Linked DNA regions of Coturnix japonica. The protein of the gene in region 1 purifies or fractionates together with the protein of each later gene. This does not show direct contact. Links are inferred from orthologs where the notes say so. Each region holds a gene or a part of one and is shown on either strand. Other genes may lie near its edges.

Evidence for each region.
Region 2: the proteins of PEX1 (region 1) and PEX26 purify together in Homo sapiens (affinity purification with western blotting; 3 studies listed by BioGRID and IntAct, with this or other methods). This does not show direct contact. The link is inferred for Coturnix japonica from reciprocal best matches to the Homo sapiens genes PEX1 and PEX26.

Annotation. Positions count from the first base shown.
Region 1 is NC_029517.1:20,660,380-20,664,203, forward strand, and holds part of PEX1 (peroxisome biogenesis factor 1), read right to left. Parts: intron 3,107-3,824; coding exon 2,974-3,106; intron 2,192-2,973; coding exon 2,095-2,191; intron 1,615-2,094; coding exon 1,444-1,614; intron 959-1,443; coding exon 804-958; intron 1-803. UniProt on the Homo sapiens protein: Component of the PEX1-PEX6 AAA ATPase complex, a protein dislocase complex that mediates the ATP-dependent extraction of the PEX5 receptor from peroxisomal membranes, an essential step for PEX5 recycling.
Region 2 is NC_029516.1:50,688,432-50,692,306, forward strand, and holds the end of PEX26 (peroxisome assembly protein 26), read right to left. Parts: intron 3,166-3,875; coding exon 3,062-3,165; 3' UTR 673-3,061; downstream 1-672. UniProt on the Homo sapiens protein: Peroxisomal docking factor that anchors PEX1 and PEX6 to peroxisome membranes. PEX26 is therefore required for the formation of the PEX1-PEX6 AAA ATPase complex, a complex that mediates the extraction of the PEX5 receptor from peroxisomal membrane.

The DNA.
Region 1 (3,824 bases):
GTGAAATAGGTTGTGTTAGATAAAAATACAACAGCTTTTGAAAGCCTGACTTTTCCACTGGTGCCTCATCCTTATTCATTTATTAGCATTAAAAAAAGCACCACAACAACAAAACACCAGCACCAAAGCAGGTAGGAGCTACCTGTGTTAAACACCAATCAGTTGCCATAACCTTGTCATGCCACAAGGGCCTACTGCCTCCTGCAATAAGGTCATACTGTTTATTCTTCCCTTTTTCCTGTTCCAAAAGGTACTATATTCAAATTAAATATAATTAATATAGAAAAATAATCCCAAACCTGCTGAAAAAATTTAGTTTTAATAACATTTTGAGAGGTAATCAACATTACTAACATGTTAGCACATACTTATTCCTCTGAGAGGCAGAAAAAACCTCCACAATAACACACTTAAGCTTAGTCTAATTTATCTAACTAAGTAATCTACATGTTCTTTCAAAGTTGCTTCTGCAGAACTCCCTTACAGGTAACAAGAGAACATCTCACTTATCTTGGACAGCCTAACTTAGTTTGAACTGAACCATCCTTTGAATAAAATAACATCTTTTTTCTCTCCACTGAGGATAATAGGACCAGCTGGGAATTTTCACTGGCTTACTTCTTAGCCTTATAATGTCACACAGGAGTTCTGCAGTATCTATCATTAAATAGTTTCTAAGATATCCAGGTTTCTTCTCATCCCCCAGAGTAACCTACAATTCCTGTAGCTGCCCCAGTATTGTATTTAAGTCTGCAGGGAAAGCAAACAACATTGCAATCAAATTAATAAATGCCCAGATTTACCTGGTCTGGTGACTGGATACATTTGAAACACTGAAATATATGAGTTCCTTGAGCTGAAACCAGGCAAGGATGTAGAGCATGTTCAGACTGACTTGTAGCAATCAATGCAATCAAACTCCCCAAGGAAATAACTTCTTTTATCAGATCTTTCAAAACTAAACAGAGAAGACGTTGCTGAAGGAATTGCAAAGTAACAAAAAGATTCTGTATTTGATTACATACATTATATACAGAGAAAATAAAAAACATTAAAAAATACAAAATATTTTCTTTATTCTTCCGTTTAAAGACTTTTTTAACAACAAAATAACAAAACCAAGCCAAATTAATACAATGAAAATCCTCCAAGCATCCCAACCAAACAATACAATTATTTTTTCTGGGACAGTATATTCCATTACTAAATGTCATCAAAAGTGCTGTTTAAAAAGCCAAATTTTTGCAAAATAACTGATGATATCTACCACAGGATACTAAACAATATTCCTCTGCGGTATGAACTCCAATCTAGAAACATACCACACTGTTCAGAGGCAATAATGATAGAGACAGAGTTATCCAGCTGGGACAGTACAACTGAGGTGCCAGAAATTCTAGGTTGCTTTACACTTTTATCCAGATACAGGTAGTGGAGCATTACCATAAGCAAGTCTAGTGCTCTGAACTGCTTCTGGGCTGTTCTCGTGCTCTGGTGTAGGAGGTACTCCAACAATGTGATCAAGATCGTCCATTAAAATAATGGATGGTTGTCTCCATGATGCCTCTAAAAAAGCTTCTTCTACATTTTTCCTTATGTTTCCTAATCTTTTTCCTAAAAGATAAACAAAGTTTAATGACAAAACATAACAGGATATGACTGATAAGACTGTCATATCTTGCTCAAGTAATATACCAATACTTGGATTCAGCTAGCTTACATGCGCTCCTATAAATCCAGATACCTATTTTAAAGCAGAATCAGCATGAGGCTACATGTTCTATCAAAAACCTACTTTCACTAACACAAGCATTCCCTAACACTTAACTTTTTACATTTGTTCCAGCCAGCACAGCTGAAGAAACACGCAGTTAATCCTGCCACTTTCTCCTCATTTTATCACCTTAAAATAAACATGGCAAGAGTGGTTTGAATGCAGTGGTGGTATGAGGGACAGAAGCTGACAGATGTGAAATAAGATTCCTTGCAAAAGGAAATTTAACAATAAAACAGAAAAATTAGATATGGTAACTTCATAATTACGGTTCTTTGTCATAAAGCAATTGTTTGATAAAGAAACAGGTACTACCATACCTCTTAAAGCTTTGCAATCAATTACTTCTACATGAGCATCCAGTCTATCAAAAGCTTCTTTGCAGATGGCTTTTGCTAATGTTGATTTTCCACTTCCCTGTAAAAATAAATGTGAGCTAATATATAAGTTACAGAACTACATGCTTCTGTTTCTGTAGAATTTTTATCAAATATACATCAGCTGAGCTGGGAGGGCTGGGAGCACTTTGGTTTTACTCCTCAGAATCATACAGTTATTCTGGCTCTGCATCACTTGGTAGGGACCGAAGCCATAGGCTGAAACAAGCCTAGGTCAAAATTGGAGCGGTTACATCCACTACAAACAGTGCTGTGATTCCACTTTTATCAGTGTTGTTTGTATTATGATGGAATTTAGTGTTAAATGCCACTACAAGAGACGCTCATAGCAGAGCATCGACTATACTGACATTTTATGTTAGTTAGAAAATAAGAGAAAATACTGTCTTCTTACTTTCACGTATTTCAGAGACAAGAAGTACCCACTATATAAACATACAGTAGATTAACAACCTATGGAGATAAACTGAAATTGTATTGCTACCAATCTTTAAATTTATATAACTACCTATATATCATCATAGTATCATATAGATGGATATATGTGTATGTACATAAAACACACATACACGTGTGTATATATATACACACATATACACACAGTAATTGCAAATATATAATGTAATAGGACATACATAATGTTCTACCATATCAACTCTGTTCAGCTAACTGCTTGTTTTTCAGCTTGTCCTTTAGTTCCTTGAATTTACATGGTGACAAAGAGAACTAATGAAAACAGTTCTGTAACTGTGGAAGACCGCTGAGGAGGAGTTTGCAAGTGCAAAGCAGTAGAACACATACCTTGCCCCCTGTGAGAAGCACCCCTCCACTTCGCAGTCCCACAGCGATACCAGCCAGCTTCTGAGATAAAGGACGACCCAAAAGACTGTGGCTTATGTGTTCAAAAGAAGACGCTCCTAATTTGTCCACTCCCCTGAACAGCACATAAAACATTAAATGGCCTAGAGTAGCATCAGCACACACGATGTAAATATTAATAATCGTAGTATAGTGAGGTTTTGATACTGAATATGCAAATTAATGCGTATTTTCACAACTAAACCTGAAAAGACAGCACCTTTATTCTGTAGAGGTAACACACAGGGGGCACAGACAAAGCAGATCACCTCTGTTTGTTGAACAATTAATCACTCAATGTATATCACCCTAGCAGGAAGTGGGTCTCAGACAACAGAGCTAACTTCAGCTTTTGGAGTTTCACCTCGTTGAAGGCCCAAGTAACAGCCTCTTAATGAATACAATGAATTGCTAACACATGGTGCACATCTGGGTCAGATAACCCAGCCTTTCAGGACTAAAGCAGCACGTAGTTCACTTGCAGACATCTTTATCCTTCACATGTCTCAAATCTTTGTGTCTTTTGACACAACAGTGCCCCTTTCAGGTTCACCACCAGCAAGGCTGCCTGTTTTGTATTTTGTATTGTATTTGTGAAAAACAAAATGAAGAAATAAAGCTTGTTTTTTTACATCCCTACCCTACCATGCTACCCCTTGGTCAGCTCCCATTGCCTCATCAAGCTCATGTTCTCAGTCGCCTTTCAAAATGTCAATAGCATACTACCACAAGTCTCTTGAGTCCCCTCTTTCTTAACCCCACTTGAAGTTCACTATACAGCACCACTGTTTGCC
Region 2 (3,875 bases), on another chromosome or scaffold:
TCCATACTGAATGGTAGTTTAAAAAAAAAAGTTGTAGCTGGCATTTCTAACCAGAATGTAACAGATTCGTCGTACGATTGTTTCCTTCACATATCGAACTGTTTCCTTCACAGAGGATGCCAGAACAAAAAGCAGAACATTTGCTGTTACATCTGGAGATACCAGTGTGAAGTTTGCATGCACGTGGCAAGCACAAATATCCTCTCTGAACAAGCCTTAAGTGGTAGGATTCCAATGGAATTAACACAACTGCATCTTTTCCCTCCACGATACATTAACAATGCAAAGAAAAACAAAGATCAAGACAAGTACCAGGTAGTTTATTCTCAGTAGTTCTGATCTTGGCCATCCCAAAGGATATAGAAACACTTAAATATATATATATATATTTAAATAAATATATATTTTAATATATTTTAAATAAATATATATATATATATATTGCATCTTTCACAGAAAATAATTATTACTTTCTGAACTCCTATGAAAATGCAGACATGTAAATCTCTACTTAATTAGCAAGTCTGCTACCTGATTCCAATATACTTGTACAACGAGGACACATATGAAACATTTCCAGAACCTATTTCAAGGCTCTACAGCATGAATATATTAAATGCTAAAGCTCTGATACACTTAATCACAGCACAAATAAGCAACTCTACAAAGAGGTAAATGAGTAGTCATTTTATTTTATTGTAAAAATTAAATATTGCAGGTTTAGCATTCATTGCAAAAAAAGAAAGATCGGTTGTTTCTGCTTTCATCCCTCTCATGGAAAGCTAAACACAGTTCAAATCCAGTATCAGTAGTACTCAAAAGAAGTGGAGGTTGCCAACGTACCAATAAAAACAAGTTGAATGTTGGAGTTCTGGTAAATGAATGGCTGTGATATTTAATGGAGCTCTACACATAACATATGGTCTGCCCTCTGAACCCATTCCCCATAATGCAGCTCTGCCATTTAACTGGAAGAGTTAACAGAAACTGAGATTTAAAAAGTGGCTGTTAGCTGAACGGTCACATATTGCTTAGAATTTAGTCTGACTTCAAAAGGAAATTTATTGTTTCATGAACTACTGGTTTACCAAGTCTTTAGAGCAAGGTCTTGCAACTAGGTGGCCAGTAGATGCAATCCAGTCACTTTCTGCAAGAACTCAATTCCAGCCAGACCCTCTGTGTTGGATTCTACCTGGTTTTCCACCAAGCACTGGCTGCAGGGAAGTGTGGCTACACTGATAGTTAGATGACATATATCATCTAGCAGTATCAAGAACTGCTCCTCCCCGTATACACGGTATATGATAAATATATATTTTTAATTGGGTGAAGCATTGTGTGCTACTTGTTCAGTTGTTAAGTCCAACTGAGACAAAAATTCCAGGGGAGAGAGGATAGGAATGTCTTGTAGTTTTACTTTTTTGTTTACCTGAGATAACTAGGCAAGGTGATGACAGCTTCCTGCATTCATAGGTGCTCCACTTTATCTCACACGAACACCAGGGTACTTCTCTATCAGGATAACTCAAGAACAATATAGACAAAGCATGACTTTTAGCAGTAAAGACACAGACTTTTCCACATAGCCTGGTAGGCTGCAAAGTGACAGAGCACACCAACAGGCTGCTGTCCTTGTAAAGAAAACTGAAACAGCCACTACATGTGCAGAACCATTGCTAGGAACAAATGATTGATTTGAAGGAGGATACCACAGTAAGATGCTGCAGTGGGACCTATATTGGCTACCCTACACAGGCTTGGTGTGTTGGATAGAAACTGCCCAACCAAAAAGGAGACTTTGTTTCTCTAAGGTGGATGTTGGTCAGCCTGAATCATCTTGGCACAGATGCAGGAATAGCTGGCTACATTTGCCACATGGCTCTAACTTGTTTTCTCCAGCACACATGCAGCGTGTTAGAAGCAATCCTGAAATAGTGCTCTCTCCCTTGGCACTCACTCACTGCTAATCAGTGGGAATTAATTGTTCTCCTGCAGACCTCCAATCTCTGCCCCAGGTGATCAGAAACAGCATCAACTGTAAGACCTTCTGTAAAGACAGTAACTTTCTTGCCACAGCTGTGGGGATCTCAGAGTTTCGACCAAACAATTGTCTGCTCTGAATGACAGAGCATTGCTGAATGGTTACCATGTAAATTAGGACTTTATGGGCATAGGAGGAAGGTTTCTAGACATACTAGGACTTGCTGACATCTTCATAAACAAAGCGAGAGGTGGGGAAAGAGTAAAACAATGCAACAAGCTCAGTGGTTCAACTAGACAACAATGTGGAACATAATTTAAAAAAATAAATTTCATTACCACTGGCACAGGCTCCTACAGATTACCATGCACCAGGCAAGCACAAGGTACTATAATCTGCATTTAAGATCTGTAGGTGCAGCACAATAGTACTTGTAGCACACCACCTCGGCTTTCTGCCATAGATACAATTAAAATCAAGAGCGCCTGTATGAGGAGGCATCAGTCACAAGAGAAACCACGGTGTTCAAAACACAACATGCTTCATTTCCTGCAGTGTTTTTCTTCCATGTGCTTGTCCTCAGCCCCATGCTAGAAGAACTGGGATCTGAGATGTCATCAGGCTCAAAAGAATATTCCCCCTAATTACACTGTTGCTTTTAACATTCCTGATTCCAGGAATGCTGTTTCAGCTGTTCAGGGAACTGCATCATATGTGCAAGAATGGAACCATCTTCCAAACAGGCATCATACTTCATAACTGTCTACACAACTCTCACTCAAGAGCCACAACCAAAGTAAAGTGTTTCAAAAGGAGGATCTTAATTAGTTGTAGATTACAGAAGGAGTGGATTTACTCTGGTGTTGGACAGAACGGCACCAAATAGCCAAAGTAATGTCAGGAATACTTGGCATGGCTTCAAAATTCATACACCACCACTCCCTGTCTGAAGGAAGGAGAGGACCACTTCACAGGAGATCACAGGTGGTCATCTGCACTAGGACACTGATTTCAACGGTCCTTGAAGAACTTCATAAAGTCCTCAAGACAAGCTGACATAGGAGCAGAGGCAGAAGACATTTAGTCTTGAATTGGAGGCCTGTGGATTGGAGACAACACAGCTGCCCAAGCCTGTCGGAAGAGCTGCACCAGTTTGCAAATGAACGGCAGGGATGTAGGAGAAGCTGCAGAGCAAAACAAAGAGCAAGATAGTTCTACCCTTTGAAACAGACCAAACATATTAAGAAAGGACTAATTCAACTACAGCTAATGGAAACCTAGGTGTCTTATTTCCTTCTGTTCAGTTCAGTACTTAGGCCCTCACCCTGCTGCCTACACACCCTCGCTGCTCCCTTACCTAGCAAGGTCTTTTCAGTATTTTCCAACACATTATTTGCAGCACAGCTATGGAGCACCTGCCACCCAGCAGAAGGGGCATCTCCAGGTACGAAAAACATGCAATCCCTCCACAGCCCAGTAGCCTCTGTGTCACGCAACCAGCCCATTCTTCAGAGGTCAGGCAGTGGAACAAGCTGCCCAGGGAGGTGGTTGAGTCAGCATCCCTGCAGGTGTTCAAGAAACATGTAGACACTGTACTAGGGGACATGGTTTAGTGGGAAAATACTGGTGGTAGGTAGATGGTTGGATGGATGATCTTGGAGGCCTTTTCCAACCTCAATGATTCTATGCCAGCTTCAGCCATCACTTGTAAGGCCTCAGTATAAGAAAATCAGAAGCATGACCATGATGCTGCCCCTGAGCAACTCTGCTTCCCTGACAGGTCAGCCCTAAATTGCAGTTGCTCTGCCAAGAGACTTTCACCTTGTAGCACCTCAAAGCCACCGAGGCAGAAGCTGCACCCCTTAGGGTACCCCAGCCTGCCTCTCTCTGTCAG